Drosophila melanogaster: one gene and its partners. The protein of the gene in region 4 interacts with the protein of the main gene of each other region in a pairwise test. Each region holds a gene or a part of one and is shown on either strand. Other genes may lie near its edges.

Evidence for each region.
Region 1: the proteins of Kots (region 4) and CG9547 interact in a two-hybrid assay, tested with the Drosophila melanogaster proteins (one large-scale study listed by BioGRID).
Region 2: the proteins of Kots (region 4) and Pdk1 interact in a two-hybrid assay, tested with the Drosophila melanogaster proteins (one large-scale study listed by BioGRID).
Region 3: the proteins of Kots (region 4) and Ccp84Af interact in a two-hybrid assay, tested with the Drosophila melanogaster proteins (one large-scale study listed by BioGRID).

What each region holds. Positions count from the first base shown.
Region 1 is NT_033779.5:6,492,470-6,496,184, forward strand, and holds CG9547 (uncharacterized protein), read right to left. Parts: upstream 2,064-3,715; 5' UTR 1,970-2,063; coding exon 1,504-1,969; intron 1,386-1,503; coding exon 592-1,385; 3' UTR 505-591; downstream 1-504. Other genes in the region: CG31638 (uncharacterized protein), read left to right, coding at 51-387, 2,469-2,635, 2,775-3,399, 3,588-3,596.
Region 2 is NT_037436.4:127,564-132,490, reverse strand, and holds the start of Pdk1 (Phosphoinositide-dependent kinase 1), read right to left. Parts: upstream 3,042-4,927; 5' UTR 2,669-3,041; coding exon 2,603-2,668; intron 1,762-2,602; exon of another isoform or gene 920-1,761; intron 680-919; exon of another isoform or gene 1-679.
Region 3 is NT_033777.3:6,689,053-6,692,021, forward strand, and holds Ccp84Af (Ccp84Af), read right to left. Parts: upstream 1,188-2,969; 5' UTR 1,135-1,187; coding exon 1,123-1,134; intron 1,065-1,122; coding exon 621-1,064; 3' UTR 550-620; downstream 1-549. Other genes in the region: Ccp84Ae, read right to left, coding at 1,907-2,521, 2,640-2,651.
Region 4 is NT_033777.3:13,960,212-13,965,855, forward strand, and holds Kots (kotsubu), read right to left. Parts: upstream 3,964-5,644; 5' UTR 3,664-3,963; coding exon 3,521-3,663; intron 3,437-3,520; coding exon 2,005-3,436; intron 1,940-2,004; coding exon 1,185-1,939; intron 1,125-1,184; coding exon 928-1,124; intron 867-927; coding exon 715-866; 3' UTR 501-714; downstream 1-500. Other genes in the region: Ipp (inositol polyphosphate 1-phosphatase), read left to right, coding at 1-122; Orc2 (origin recognition complex subunit 2), read left to right, coding at 4,797-5,370, 5,439-5,644.

The DNA of each region.
Region 1 (3,715 bases), on a different chromosome or scaffold from region 4:
AAATACGCATTCTGTACTTTGACAAGAGTGTAACTATCGATTCATTGCAGCCTCACGGAGCTTCGCACTGAACTGGAGCACCTTCAGGCGGAGAACGCCTCCGAATGGGGCAAGCGCGAGCGACTGGAGTCCGAGAAATTGGCCATGGAGCGTGACAACAAGAAACTGCGCGCAGAACTGCGAGATTATCAGGAACGTTCGGACCGTAAGTGCCGACCCATGCAAGCTAATGACGTGGAGCTGCGAGCATTGCAGCAGGAACTTTCGGAGCGCAACAAGGAGATCAGCGAGGTGAAGATGTCGCACGCCAAGCTAAAGAAGTTGCTGGCCGAAACAAACACAGAGCTGGGACACGCCGTGCGGCGAGCCGAGCAGTATGAGGCGGAGGTGAGTAAATCCACATCCAAAAATCTTATCAGATGATATATGGATCAGATTACGCGTATCAGCTTATCAGCCTAGGAAAACTTAAAGATGTAACAGCCTTCCTCGCCGAACCGAATTCGGTTTGATTAACATTTATTCACATTGACACTTCGACATAAAACAAATTGGTAAATGCAGTACTTTATGATTTTCGAAACAAGTACATTAGTTAGCAAATGCCGCCAGTCCGGTGATGGCTCGGCCCAGGATCAACGCGTGTATATCGTGCGTGCCCTCATAGGTGTTAACTGACTCCAGGTTGATTACATGGCGGATCACATGATATTCGTCGCTGATTCCGTTTGCACCCAGCATGTCCCTCATTTGGCGCGCTATATCAAGCGATTTGCCAGTATTGTTTCGCTTTAGAAGGGAAATCATGTCGGGCGTGTGCAGCTTCTGATCCTTGAGGCGACCCACATGCAGGCAAGCCTGCAGACCCAACGCAATCTCTGTGATGGCATCGGCCAGCTTCTTTTGGATCAACTGATTTGCAGCCAAAGGACGACCGAATTGTTTGCGATCCAGTGTATACTGGCGAGCAATCTCCACGCAGGTTTCAGCTGCTCCCAGGGCTCCCCACGCGATTCCATAGCGAGCGTTGTTCAGACAGCTGAAGGGTCCACTAAAGCCGGCCACATTGGGTAGCAACTGCTCCTCTGGCACACGGACCTCGTCCATCAGGATCATACCCGTGGGCGAAGCACGCAGAGAGAACTTGCCCTCGATCTTTGGCGTCTCCAAACCCTTGCCGGATATCTTGCGATCCACCAGGAAGCCGCGTACCTTGCCATCCTCGCATTTTGCCCATACGACTATGACGTCTGCGATGGGCGCACTAGTAATCCACGTCTTAGATCCGTTCAGGATGTATGTCTTGCTTTTGCTATCGTACTTGGCACGGGTCTCCATGCCAGCGGGGTCACTACCGTGGTTGGGTTCAGTTAGGCCAAAGGCACCTGAATAAATATGTAAAGAAATTGAGATTCGTTTAAAGAGAACACATATAAACTACGGGACTTTATATAATTCACTCAATATTTCATTAAAATATGATTTTATTCATTTGGCACTCACCAATCAGCTTGCCCTCCGCCATGCTGGGCAAATAGCGTTGCTTCTGCTCCTCGGATCCAAAGTCGTAGATGGCGCCCATGGCCAGCGAGCTCTGGACACTGACAGCAGACCGATAAGCGGAGTCCACGCGCTCCACCTCGCGGGTGAGCAAGCCGTAGGCAACGCTAGAGACTCCGGCGCAGCCGTATCCCTTAATGGTGCAGCCGAGGACACCCAGACTGCCGATCTCCTCCATAATTTTCTTGTCGAACGTCTCCAGGCGATTGGCCATCTTGACGCGCGGCTGCAGCTCGGCCTGACAGTATCCACGGAACGCATCCCGAATGGCCACCTCTTCCTCGGTCAATTGGCTCTCCAAATTCAGCGGATCCTGCCAGTTGAATTTGGGAGCTGCGGCTTTGGAGCTCGTGCTGGCCAAGCGGCGGGCACACGGTCGCAGTTTGCTGATTACACTTTGCGCAATCATAATTCCGATTCGGTTCTGTCTTTTCTGTTGGAAGTGATCAGCCGGTTCTCCACGGAACAGCTGCTCGATTCGACGTTCGGCGAGAGACTGAAGAAAGCTTAAATCTACAGCGAGAGCTTTTGGCTGCCCGCTCTTCGCGCGCTCTCTTCGCTCTTCTTCGCCAACTTTGTTTACCTCGCTTTAATATTGTTGTTATGCCCGATCTTAATCTGCGGGTTCTAAATTTTTCGCACTATCGCGCTTATATTTCACTTGACGATAGAAACCAAGAGTGAAGCGAGTGTGGAAGGAAATATTTTTCCATTTTAAGCGTTATCACCACTTGGCGGGGGTCGTCTGCTTATCAGTTGTGTTTGAAGACTGGAAGGCACGCCCCCTTGCTCTTTGTGCTTCGAGTTTTGGGTACAGATGCATCTTATGCGTTCAGAACAAATATGTAATATACCAATCTGAATCCACATATGTAGCTACATCACTACTTTTCTCTATTTTCCTGCAGGTGAAGCGTCTGCGTCAGCGTGTGGAGGAGCTGAAGCGGGAGTTAGCTGGTGCTGAGGACGAACTGGATTCGGCCGTTAACCAAGTGCGCCGCTTGCAGCGTTCCAACGATGAGCTGGTGGGTCAGACGGAAGGATTACAGGTGCAGATTCAGCACCTCCAGAATAGGTAAGATCAGTTCGAAAGAAACATTTAGATTTGCATACCGCTAAGTCTGTGGACTAACTCTAATAACCACTAACTTTTCAACTGGTGCTGGCTTGACTAATAACCTAACTCCTAACCCACGCTTAACCCAACGAAAAAGACGTGCTCCCAGTCCCCAGCTGCGGGGCATGGGCGGGGTGCAATTGAGGAATAAGATTGCCGTGGAGCTGCCCAACGACTGTCTGCCGAATATCAATGATCTTCGCCAGATCTTTGATGACTCGCAGGCAGGTTTGAGGAGCTCCCACAATGGCAGCGATGCCGCTATGCATCATGCTGCTTCCGTAAAGAGATCTAGTCACACGGAACGAACGCTCCTGCAGCAGCAGCAGAGTAGTGCTGCGGCATCTGCAGCGGCGGCGGCAGCGGCAGCAGCTGCTTTTTTTGATGCCAAGCCCACGCATCTGGAGGAGAATATATTTGAGTCGAAGTCACGGAATCTGGAGTTCGAGCGGGCCAAGCAGAAATTCGATAATCCTCACGGACAGCACCATCATCATCACCAGAGGCAGCGATCCGGAAACGGACGTTATGGCAGCGCAGGCAGCAGTGCCAGTCGAGCGAATCTAGCGCTGCCCCTGAAGGGAACCACAAATGGAGGCAGCAGCTCCGTTTCCAGTAAGGATGAGCTAAACCGACAGCTGTACGAGAAGGAGCAGTCTGCAGGCGCTGGATATGCGAGAAACAGCATTAATCTAGATGGTCTCAAGGTGTCCGACGATGAGGTGAGATTAGAGGAGCAGAAACGATTGTTATCACTTGAGTAAACTAATGCTTTGTTAGTTATTGTGTTCATCACATTATTGGTTTGATTTGTTTTAGCATCACTAATCCTTTTACTGCATGTATTGGTTTTACTAATCAATGTATAATTCTAGGTAAATATAATAACTATTTGTGATTTAAATTTCAGACTCCGTAGCTATGGTTCGACAAGCTTGCTGCTGGACGACGAGACGGAGGGTAACAGCGACTAGGATAACCAGACAAAAGACATTTGAGAGACATTAATGGTATTAACCTTAAGTATTAATTCGCAAG
Region 2 (4,927 bases), on a different chromosome or scaffold from region 4:
TGTTGTAATTTCGATTTGGGGTACAAATTCCAATGGGCACACGAATGAAGAAGAAGAGCCAGCCACCGCGTACACGCACACACTGTACAGAGCGAGCGCGCGTATTTTTTCGACTCTGCGCGTGCCTGTGTATATGTATGTGTGCGGCTTTAATTTTATTTAATTCTTAGCTTTGATTCTTAACATTCGTATTGTGCTTCCCTTGATTTGCACAATTATGAAACCGCCGCAGTATGTTTCTCGAAACAAATCACAAAAGTTCGCCAGAAACAACAATAATCAAGACAATAATTCCGACGCAGTAGGAAAATTTATAAGAAACGAGACGCTGTATGTGTCTGTTATTTTTTATGCCCTCTTATTTTTCTAGGAACTGGCTCACACTCATACGTTGTACTACATTAATTTGACTAATGAAAACAATCGGTTAAATACTTTGAACACAACACGGAGGGAGAATACACTTATTTTTATTCCGATTTAGATTTTATGTAATTTATTTGGCCTTTTGTGGAGTATTATTTAATCGCACCACTACAGCACTACATCACACGAACTTGGGGCGTCGTGTATTTGCCTGTGTATGTATATCAATGCCAGCGCGCTATGGGTGTGTGTGTGTGCGTAGTCGAACGCCGCGTGCACGAAGCGACTGGTTTGAAATCCAATAAGAAACTATGGTCGGGCGAGACTTTGACTTCCAAGCATTTGGCTCGAGCAGCGAAACCGATGGGAGACGAGCGCCACCCGAGAGAACTCTCTTTGGCGTTGCCGCCCCCGCCAAGCTAACCCTCGGCGCTCTCAGTTAAATGGGGCCAAAGCAGCGCAGTCGTGTCGCCGCTGGCGTCACAATTTTTTTTACAAGGCGAACAAGTTGCGCGCCACTTTTGAGAGCGTAATTGTTGCACTGTAATTGTTTGCCAGTGACTTTTTATAAATAAACACGACGGGGCAAAGCGAAAACAAGTTTCAGTCGAAATCCACACAACTACATAAGGCCAAAGAGAGCGCACGCTCTTTTTGAAGAGAGAGAGTGAGAGAGAGAGAGAGAGAGAGAGAGAGAGGGGAGACGACCGCATTCCTAACTGTAAACAAGCAAGAAGCGGAGACACTATAAAAGTGGGAAAGAGACAAGGCGACAGGCTAAGAATGCGGCGCTGCTGGAAAAACTCGTTTTTCCCGCTGGAAAAGGAAAATATGGATAAAAAAGAATTCGAGGAATTTTCGTGCGAAAGAGAAAGAGAAGTGGTGTAAAAATAAACAAGAATCCGAACCCGATTACGAATACATACACAGGGCAACGAAGGAAGAGAATTGGAATAGCTGAAAAACAGAGCGGACAAAACAAAATGCTTGAAAAGCGAAGGGGCAGCTCAAAGCGGACAAGCTGATACGTAGTAAAACATACCAACGACGGCAACTTCAAATGTAAATAAGTATATAAACGAGGTATGTAAGCGGATGAGTGTGTGCAACAACAACAGTAAACCTAATGACAACAAACCGAGCAACAGACATGCAAGTGAAAGGCCTTTGCGTTGTTTCCCATCCACTACTCAAGTTATTTGCAAAATAAAAACAGCTAAAAGAAGACAAAGTGATGAACTCGGATCGGGAGAGAGAGGGGCATAATTTTACTTTTGGCTGCTTGCAAGAGAAAATAAAATAAATAATTCATTTATTGGTTGCTGCTAATAGATAGCAATTAAAAGTAAAAGAAACCACAATAAATTGTTGTTTAGAAACCAGCTGGAATCATTGTGTTTTTTTGCTGTGAATTTTTGTTGTTGTTTTTAAAGTATCAAGCAATTTGCGAGGCAATGAACTGCAGTTGTTAAATAAATTTAGTCAACCCCTGCGGCTTCATTAAACTTTTTTATGCATTTTATTTTCGTTGTCGGGTGCCTGCAAAATAATTATACACATCCACTGCCTATTTATGTCGAGTAATATAAGCATCTGAAAATGTATTCATAATCAACTCCATCTAGATAGCTTTTAAAGTGGTTGTTATACAGACAGTCGTTGAATTATCTTATTTTATTGCCCACTTAGTGAGGAGTTTATGGCTTTGATCTTTATATATTATACCAGCATGTGTTGTCAATGGAAATTTTTTAGATGAAATGTACGGAAATATTTAAATTTATTGGTAACAAGAATTGCAAAAAGTAAAAATACTTTTTTTTTTTGCTATATAGCTCAAACATTAAATTTCACAGCTTTATGAGTATTTCATTATTTCATGTCAATAAATTATTTTGCAGCTTTTGTATTTTGTAAACAAAAATTTGTACAACCAATTCAATTTTTTTTTCCAAGAACAATTTTGTGTAATTTAACGATAAAATTGATGGGAGGTATTTTCTCGAAAGCATTACTTGTAGTTTGTAAAAAAAGTTTTACTAAATTATTTTAATTAAAAACAACTTTAACAAATTGTACTTTCGCATTACCCCATATCTATGCTATAAACTTATTTTTTAACACCTTAACAAGTCTCATAAGCCTCATAAGATATATTCACTTAATCAAAATTTAAATAAATATAAGTATATATGTATCAGGGCCAAACACCGCACCTTTTTAAGACACTATTTACCTTGATAGACTTTATTTTGCGCACAACGTAGTTGTTAATTTTGTTGGACCAGCTTTTACATTTCATGATATTTTTCGCGTTCTCCGCCGTTCTCGGGGAGGATGAAGAGGCAAAGACAACGGTAAACGGATTGCTTTCGTCACTTGAAGTTGCTGCCCTCACTCATTTCAGTTTCATTTCGTTTTACCGGTTTTTGTAATATTTTTTTATTTGCTTCACTTTGCGATATTTATTCACTTGAGTTTTCACCGCCCGGCGACAGTTGCAAAACCTTTGTGATTGCAAATGGTAATTATACGTATACACGAAGACTCGGGTCTTACTCGCATTTCTTTTTGGCGCGATAAAAGGAAAATTGGACGTTGTGGTTTTTCCAACAGGGCGTCAAATTTGTATCCGTGATTACGACCGAACCCGTCAAATTTCCGATTCGAAATGAGTCGAAAAGGCGAAAGAAAAGGCAAGGAGAGCGCGCTAAACTGGGAACGGCGGCATTGGGCCACAGTTACCAAATCGTGAGCGCGGAGAACTGGAAGAGAGATAGAGAGTTATGGGGTAAAAAAGAGTGCGGAGAAGTGTAAGAATTTTCATTTGAGTTTTAATCGACACATGAATAATGGGAAAATTATGTTATTTTTTATTAAGTTAGCTTTAAATTTATATTTTTGTATTCTTTTTTAAATAATTAGTTTTTAACGGGTTTTGTTTGTTTTTCTTTGATTTTGCGTATATATTGCATCTGTTGAAACACGTTATTGTCACCCTAATGTTGGATAGCTATTAAATTTGGGTATTTCTGGAACTTTCTTGAATTATTTGCAGGTCTTTCGAAAAAACAGTTATGCATATCCTATTCATTTCACCGATTTGCAAGTCACGGTTCCGTTATTGCCGCGAGTGGGCAAGCTATTTGCGTTTTCTTTTACATTTCGAATGCGCCGCCCATTAATTATTTATTTATTAATGAGTAAGTGACGCACTTGTTTTCATCCACTTATTTGTTGTTACTGCAACGAATCTTGCTTACATTTACATACATACATACATAGGTACATAATTCCATCAAGATCATGCATCAGTGCCACGCCCCCATCTATAAAATGAAATTGTGGACAACGTCGCTGTCGTAAACTTCCAAGGCAATTATGTATGTATGTATGTGTACAAATGTGCATTTTCTGGAATTTAAACTATTCCCGCTCTCTTCGCGCACGGATCGTTCGTTGATCCGCACTCTGGGTTCCACATTAGCATAAGTGTAAGGCCTTCTACACAAACGCGTTCCACAATTCATTCACATCGCCTGTTCCACAACTTTCCGGCGTTCCGTCACGTTCGCGCGCCTTTTCCACCCAGCGTGAAAAAATTCACTTGCTGCTCCCGCTCCCGCTCACGGTTTTATTCTCGTTTTTACGTTTTACTACGAAGCGAAAACAAAACAAAATTAAGGGGAAGCGGAAACTGCAGTTGCTTTGGCTTTGCTGACGTGGATGCCGACGCTTTCGTCATCAAGTTTTTCTCTCACTTTGTTTTTTTTTCTCTTTAAGAAATATTGTAAATATTAGTTCTGTTCCTGTTATGGTTTTTTATCTTGTTAAGAAATATTGTAAATATTAGTTCTATTCCTGTTATTTTCTATATTTGGTTGAGTTTCCATTTATGTATTATTTAAATTTCCTAGCTTAATTTGTTTAAAGACTTACTTGTGAATTGCTGCGTAGTTTAAATAACACAGTTTAATAAACACATTTAATATTCAAAGACCTTATCAATTAGCAATATAAGTAATATTTCTTTAGTTTTTGTGTACTTGTGATAAGCACTCATTCAAACTGAACGGCGTTTAGGCTCAAATAAATCTATGAAAATTACAATTCGTCTTCATCGAATGAACTTTGACTGCATATTTTAGAAATGGTCGCGAATTTTCTTCTTACCTATTTTATTTTATATAATAATCAAATTCAATTTAATTTGTCTCACCCTTAGCGAGTTCGGTGGCTTAGTTAAAATCGTTTTTATTTGGCCTCTGCTTTTAGCATTTTGTGGCTAATTTATTTCTTGCTTTCTGCTAAAAAATATTTGAAATTAGCATTTTTAATGGGCAGCAATCGAGGTTCGGCGAGACACAATGTCGCCTGAAAAATATTTTTAAAATCCCATTTGCATATATTTTCAGCCAAGCGCTTAGTATAAAAAGCTAATTTCACGAAATCCCAGCTGATTTAGTCATCAACGGTGGGCTGTGCACCAGTTTCTTTCTAATTGCTGGACTTCCCCCCGCTTGGAAGCTAAGCTTGGCAGACGAACCGGTTCGGAACCCTC
Region 3 (2,969 bases), 7.3 Mb from region 4:
AATAATCGAGGGACTTGGCGAAAGGTTTCTGGCCACTTCAAAGCTGCAGCATAGTGACCTTAACTGGTTTTCAAGAGCGGACCGCATTACATGCATTAAATTCAATAAGCCTTCGACGCAGATGGTTTTATTGAAATGTTCCGATCGATGCGTTTCTTTCCGATCGGATGTCTACCCCAATTTTCGTTGATTGGTGTAAAATGGGTCGGACGCGAACGCCTGATCAATTTGGGCCCTTAATGACTTATTACCGGCAGAAAATTGATTACAAAGTGCATATGCTGGAGAGGGATTTAAGAGGAGCCAAGGTGATGCAGAGTAAGCAGCTCCAGTGACGTTTTTCGTTGGTACCAGGCGGGCTCCCACTTGATGGTCATCTAAGTTGCTTACTGGGTGCTTTTGTGTAACTTGTAATTCTTAGATTTTTTCAATATTACGAATTTACTTTAACAATACAATATATAAATATATGTATAATATTTTGATTGACTAATGCCTGCTAATGAGCGAGATCCCTTACAAGACGTAAAGAAAAATGCGTTTCGATTTCTTTCAGCTTACAAATATTCAACAATTTATTTGATCTACAAACGGATTCAACAAATCAGTAGGAGAGTTCCTCAGTGGTGCTGGTGGTAGGCCACTGGGATAGGGGCAGCAGCCACGGCCACAGGAGCCACGGTCTTCACCACGGTCTTCACGTGATCCAGGGGAACGCGGTTGACGACGGCGTTGAAACCGTTGACCGGGTCGGAGGTGTACTGGACAATGCGCTTGTAGCCATCGGAATCGATCAGGGAGTACTCGCCATGGACCACGTCGCCATCACGCTCCTCAACCTGACTCTTCGAGTCTCCGGAAAGGGAGTCCTGGACATCGTAGGCGAACTTGTACTGGGGATGGGGATCGTATTCCTCGGTGGCCTTGGTCAGAACCGGCTGGGCGTGGGCAACGGCGACAGGTGCTTGGGCGTAGGTGGCCACGGCGGGGGCGGCGTGATACACCTGCTGGACGGGAAGAACTCCGGCACTGGCGGCCGAGATGAGGGCGAGAACAGCGAAGAACTGTGGGAGAAAAGAGGGGTAATTGAAAGGATCGGATATTCATGTAAGGATTACCCACCTTGAAGGCCATGGCTCTGGACTTGGAGGAGGGCTGGTGGTGGTTATCCGTTAACTGCTGCGAAGACGGTGAAGCTGTGGAATGATTTACTGGAACACGAGCTTTGCTTTTTATACCCACTGAACGTGTGCAAAGCAAAATGCGAATAACGAATTGAAACTGATTAATTCGCTGTTGGGCAAATCATTTTTGTCACTTTTTATTTTATACATTTATTATTGTATTACCGCTATGCTATTTACCTTATTACTTTATCGACTGGAATATGGGCACTTACAACTGCCCACGCCGGGGGCCAGAGATACTTTTATGCAATCCGCATCCAAATCTAGTGCGGCTTAGTGTCTTGGGAGAGACCCTCGGATTTTGGTGCCTATTGCGAATTAAATGCTTTCACCATTCTGCCTTGAGTGGTATATCATGTTACCGGGCAGCTCAAAACGCTTGGAACTGACCTACACTGATTACATACTTTGAATTGAAAAGCACATTAGACGATAATAATAAATATATTTCAATGCACACTTCAAGAATCAAGAATAAGTTAGTCTGCTTAAAAGCAAACTGATGGATTAAATAAGAGTTTTTACGGATACTAGTCAAATCATGGGAACAATTAAGAAAGCTTTGAAATATGCTTGAACTGAATTTCAATTGAGTTGGTAAAAATATAACTTAATTTCTAAGCCCAAATAAAACCACAATTCAAATTAACATATCAAATCACATTTTATTATCATAGAAACAAAACAAGGGTTCAAAATAACAGCGGTCGCATGGGTGTTTACAATTGGGCGACGGTGTACGCAGGGGCGGTGTACCGCAGAGGCGTGGCATAGGCAGCGGTACGCAGAACGGGAGCGGGAGCAGCCACCGCCAGAGGGGCGGAGCGGACGAACGGAGCGGCAACTGCTAGGGGAGCGGACTTGATCAGAGGAGCAGCGACGGCCACTGGAGCGGAGCGCACAATGGGAGCTGGTGCGGCCAAGGCGACAGGGGCGATGGGGGCGACTGGAGCGGCCTTGACCAATGGGGCAGCAACCTTCAGCAACGGCTCGGCGGCCACAACAGCGGCAAGGGGTTCACGGCGGACGACGGCGTTGAATCCGTTAATGGAATCGGCGGTATAGGTCACGGTGCGCTTAAAGCCATCGGCGTCGATCAGGGAGTACTCGCCGCGGACCACGTCACCATCGCGCTCCTCCACATGCCCCTTGTTGTCGCCGGAAAGCGTGTCCTGCACGTCGTAGCTGTAGGTGTACTGAGGATGCGGATCAACCTCCTCCAACTCAACGGTCTTGGCCAAAACTGGCACCGGAGCAGAAGCCACTGCCACTGGAGCAGCAGTTCTAAGGACGGCGCCATGGGCCACGGCGAACAGAGCCAAAGCGATAACAATCTGCGGAATAAATTACACTCTTTTTAGGATTTTTTTTTCCAAGATAAAAAGGCGAAGGCAGTCTGGTAATCCACTAGTAGTCCCCCGGAACGTTTATCCTCCAATTGGTAGCACAAACCTTTGCTGCCATTGTAGTTGGATGAATTTGATTAACTGCTGTCTTGAGCCGAAGCCAAACACTGAATGTCTGACCCATTGTGGGCCGTTTATTTTATACGCTACTTGGTGACATTGATGACACCTAATTGGAATTCATTTTTGGCGCATCACCTCGAGCGGCGCCGGTGGCATGTAAAAATTGTCACGCACCTTCTTCAGTTCTGCCAATTTCGATCGGTCGAAATAACCAGCTGCACTTAATTGATTACGCCAAGCCAATTTTAATTACTATTTTCCTTAAACTTGGAGTCTTCTTATTCAATTTTGTTGTTTTTCTTTTGGAAAGTAC
Region 4 (5,644 bases):
TGAAGTACCTGATTGAGGATGCTGAAGCCGATGCCGATTGGAAGCGAAACGCGGGTGGTATAATCTCTGTGCGCAATGTCGATGTTGTGGATGAGCTGCTGGCCAAATTGGCCGAGCAATGAGTGTTGTTATTATGTTATTTGTTGTAAACCCATTATTGCTGTTGTAATTGATTTGATGTAATTGCACTACGAGTCAGTCGAATTTGTAGGCATAGAAACTACTACAAGAAAATTTGCTAATAAATGAAACCGGCGAACGTGTAAAACATTCATTTAAATTAAGTAACAATCTACAAAAGGATTATAGCTGCTGTTTGGAAGTACGAATGCCACCACATCTGGGGTTAGCTAGAATTGTCCGTATCCCATAATAAAAAATAGATAACAAATAACAAGAATGGATGATATTTCTTCTCTCTTCTCTTAAGTGTAGCCTACTTATTGGAGTTTCTGTGCGGTAAAAACAAATTCTAGTCAATGAAACAAATTAAAGAAATTCTGTATGAACGATCAACATCTTTATATGGTGTCAAGTCTCTTAGTCGAATCACTCTGTGCTGGAATAAATGTAAGCGAATAATTGTCAAAATCATGTTCGAAAATACACTGTGGTCGAAACTTATATCGAATATCGAAATAATGTTTGAACATACACTTTTGGTGTACACTTAATGCTAAAGTCATATGAAGGAATGCGAGTTCTTAAGTTAAATTATGCAACTGGTGTGTTTAGAATAGTCTCCATATCCGGAATTGTAATGAGACGAGTATCGGGTTCAGGGCCTTTCTTAACTCCGCATAAGAATCGAATCTTACGCACAAGAAACTGCTCCAGAGCCGCAAAATTCTTTGATTTGTCGAAGCCTGCAACGAAGTGTTTATTAATGGTGATCCGGGCAAAAATTGAATGCGATTATGCGCATACCATTTATATAGCACTTTGTGACATTGACGGCAATTAGCAAATCCTGTGAAATCGGTTTCACGTGTCTCACGGCCACATATTCCGTATTTCCAAAATCGCAGAATAGAATTTTGACCATATTGTCCTTAACCTCCTGGCAGACTCCGCGATACCAGTTCTTATCTTCGCTGTAGATCGCCAGGCACAGTTCACCAACGCTGCAATTGGGATAAAGTGCGTGTTAAGAAAAGGACAAGCAAATATCGAAAGCGCATTACTTTGGTACGTAACCCGGAACAACATTGTGGTCACATGCTCCCTGACTTGATGTCAAGCTAAGGATTTTTTCAAATTCCTTGGCCGCCTTTTCGTCCTTGAAGTAGGCGGCGGTGATGTAGCCAGTTTGCGGCAATCCGTCAGCGTTCATAAGGATTAGGTTGACCTTGTCGCCTAAAGGAGCTAGATTCTTGGGCAAAGCGTCGAAAAGGAAGCGTTTAATGGGCAGAACGTGGGAAGCTGACTTTGTACTTGTCACGTCGGCAGGAAAAGGCGACTCCGGTGGAGAGGGCGGCAGTGGAGGCAGATCCAGCAGAAGTAGAGACTGTGGAGACACCTTCTGCTGTTTGTGAGTTACAACAGGCAATTGACTCGGAGTAGAAGCAGCCTTCGGTGGTGCAACTTCTGCTTTTTCCTGTACCGGTGTAAATATAAGAGGCAACATTTGGGTCGTCAAGGAGCGCGAATCGCCGGAGCTGAACAGCAGGTCCACGGTCGATGTAGTTGCATCTACCATGTTCAATTTTAGCAGTTCTTTTTGGGCGCAGAGCTTGTGCAGCATTTGAATGGCCGCATTGTTAACTGGCACAGCTGCATCCGGAATATTGCAGACATTCTGCAACTGTACACGCATCAGACATACGGGCAAATTCTCCAGGAAGCGACAGGAGCTGCGTATTTCCGCCAACTCCACCTTTTGGGTGGCACCAGTATCAACGTTCATTACTTCGAACAATCCACTATCCTTACTCAATATCTGTAAAATTCGAAAAGTTCATAGACTTTACTGATTGAAACCCTGCAACATAAATATCGACAAACCTCGCCCCGGAAGTGACCCATCTGCTTGGAGACAACGAGCACGATGCTGCCAACGGAAACATCACTAGATTTGGTAATGGTAGCGCACTTGTACTCCAGGCGCTTGAAAATTTCCGCATACTGCTTGGCGTCTGGAGTGCTGATGTATACCTCCTTAAAGCTGACCAAGTGGGAAATGAATACGATGGAATCATGGACGATGGGTTCACGCCAGTACTTGTGGCCTAAATATGAAATCTGACCCAAGAAAGTGATCAGACGGGCCATACATATCTGCTCGCCCTTGGAATTCAAGGCGGCATTCGCCGCGCGTAACTTTTCCTTGGGCGGCTTATTATCCAGCTTAAACTTGACCGTGAGTTCTGCACCTTGAGTCTCAAGCTCCTCGGGTACGGAGTCCTCCAGCTGAGCGGCAAACACTCGACTGGGCAGGCCAAGTAGTTCGCTGGGAATACGACTCAGATCGGTGGCTATGGACACTCTACCCTCGTCCATTTCGTAAACCAAATAGGTTGGCCTCGGTTTCATGATATGATCCAATAGGAAAGCTCGCCGATAACCATTTTTAGTGCGGGTGGCCGCAAAGAAGATGGATTTCTGCTCGGGGAAGGGCAGCGTGAATGGCTGTCTTGGCTTCTCGGCTATGCGGTTGTTTAAGTCTGCGTTGACATGGCCCATCACGTTGATCTGGAGTAGGGCCAGCTGCGGTTCGTTATGCTTTGGATTTGCCTTAAAGACCCGGATGACTTTGACTTCTGGATTAAGCTGCAGCATCTCCAAGGGCAAACTTAGTGGTATTATCATCTTGGGCTTTAGATGGACGTGATAAGCTCCGTCGCTGGTTTTGGTTCCCAACATACGGAGCGTCAAGTTCTTAATGTCCTGAACTCCAGTGTTCGTGGGCAATTGAACACGGAAAGCGAACGCCTTGCTTTCGGCCATCTTGGGCACAATGGTGTAGATATCCCGAAACGGTGTAGCTACTATCTGACCGTGGTCAATCATACGGACATTGGCTTCTTGCTTCTTTTGGCAAACCGTCAAAACATGACCGCGATGGACCTTGTCGCCCACACTGATGGCCACGAGGGTGTCCTCCCGCACTCCTTCCATACGAATCATCTTCTTATTCTGCATGCAGCGCTGCATGTTGACCGTCATTCGCTCAATGGCCTCCACATTCGCCACGTGCACCACCCAAATGGGTCCATCGTTCTCCATGAAAGTCACGCGGCACTTGAAAAACTCCATGCCCGACGGCAGCAAATGTTTGCGCCAGTTTTCCGATAGATCCGGCTTGTTCGGCACAGCAACTGTGGGCTCCACACATGGGATTGGCGATTTAGTGCGAGTTTTAGCCAGAGCAACTTGGTTCTCTACGCTCTGGATTGGATTCAACGCCGGTTGAAGAGGCCGGCACTCCACCAAGGGTCTGGAAACGCATTTGTATTGTATAAGAATTAAAAACCCCTAACTTAATGCACTGCTGCGCAACGGATTTACTAATTTAACTCACGGCATAATGATGCACACCTGCCTGTGCCTCTGCCAATCCAATTTCTGGCACTTTTCATTGCAGTACGGTTCTCCACACCGCTGGCACATCAATCTGGTCGGAGTGCCACAGACGACGCATGTCTTTTCCTCCGACTTTTCCATTTCTTCAATTCAAAGTAACAACGCAAGAACGTGTGAATGAAAGAACGGCGCGTTAAAGGAAACGCAGCAAAATGGCGCTAACAGAACTTTTAGCACGCGATGAAATACAAAGTGAAAATCTATTTACGCTGGACGAGAACTTTCTATGTTTTCGTTTTGAAAAAGGTGGAATCCTTTAGAATTTAAGTGCGCGATTCACAACTCACAAACATGCGATACGTTCACTAAACGCGTTTAAATTCGAAGCTCGCTGGGCACGCGCTTCAGTGCATTGAACGAACGTGGGAAGAAAGAGAACAGGACGATATCGATATCGGTTGGTTTTCGATTTACAGCGCACTGATGGAAGTAAACTTGATCGTTAATTAAAAAAGGAAAAATAAGGCTTACGAAGTTTTTAAACTTTAATTAAAACGACACAACATATGCTAAATATTCTACATATTCCAGTTACAATCAATTTCGCCAAGCCATTTTCATGGAAGTTGAATACTCTTTGAACCTGTTTGAATATATCTGAAAACGCAAATCTACTTTGTGTTATTATTTTGCCAATATAGGCAATATTATTTGAAAATTAACCGCAAGTCCATTGACGACCGCAATTCAGAATAAGAACGTAGCGTAATTTTCCCATCTTCAAATATTGTTTTTCCTAAACTTACCGATTTTAACACTTTTTAGTTTTAAAAACGTTTGTGGTTAATCCGCAAGGAATTTGTGACAGTGAAAAAATAACCGCTTTGTACGCGCACGTGTTGCCAACAAACACTTCAGCTTTTGTCAGTGACTGGATTCTAATTTAAATTTATCGATAACGTATGCAATTCTTATTCGAACAATATAGTTATTTCTAAAAACTGTGTCACGGAATTTCTTTTTGTAATTATTACCTATATAAATATATATTTATACAAATATTTATAACATTTGTGTTTTAATTGTCATGCCCCTTTAGTTTTTTTTACGCTAGAAACTTAGCTACTTCCTAGGTCGAGAGCTGGCCACACTCTTGGCATGTCTTAGTTATCGATAATTCCCGCCACTTCTGAGCATTGAGTATATTTTGCGAACTATTTGTTTACCAATTGAATATTTTGATAATCAGGGCCCCCAGTGAAGTGGCAAGCGTCATGAGTGCCAGCAACAAAGGCGGTTACAAGACGCCGCGGAAGGAGAACCTCATGTCCATTGAGAACCTCACCAATTCGGAGGAGGAATCCGAGGACTTGAACACGGCAATGGTTGGGAATGCAGTGGAATCTCAGCCCAAGGTCACCAGTCGGCGTTCCACCCGACGTCCAAGTCCCACCAAGAAATACCAGGCGTACCAGAAGGAAAGCAATGGAAAAGGCCAGGAAGAGCGAATTGTTGTGAACTATGTGGAAATGTCCGATGAACGGAGCAGCGATGCGGAGGATCAGGAAGAAGAAGAAAGCATCGAGGAGTCGGAAAATGCTGCCCGTCCCGCTGCCAAGGATCTGCATCTCATCCAATCCGAGTACAATGTGGCCGGCACCAGCATGTTTGGCTTCAATACGCCCAAGAAACGCGATGCCATGGCACTGGCCGCCCTAAATGCCACGCCCTGCACGCCCAAGACCCCAAAAACGCCGCGTTTGGGTGTCAAGACGCCGGATACGAAGCGCAAGAAGTCCATGGATCAGCCAAAGACTCCCGCCCATGTGCGCACCCGCGTCAAGAAGCGTGGGTAGCCTTTTTCTGCGTCCTTTTACCATTTTTTCCATTATTTATAAATTCATTATCACTTTCAGAGATTGCCAAAATAGTGGCCGACTCAGATGAGGATTTTTCTGGAGATGAAAGCGATTTCCGGCCCAGTGACGAGGAATCCTCCTCCAGCAGCAGTAGCAGCGATGCTGGCAACTCCTCTGACAACGACGCCGCCGATGATGAGCCCAAAACGCCCAGTAGAGCCCGCCGTGCCATTGTAGTCCCCGTTCTGCCGAAAACTCCATCG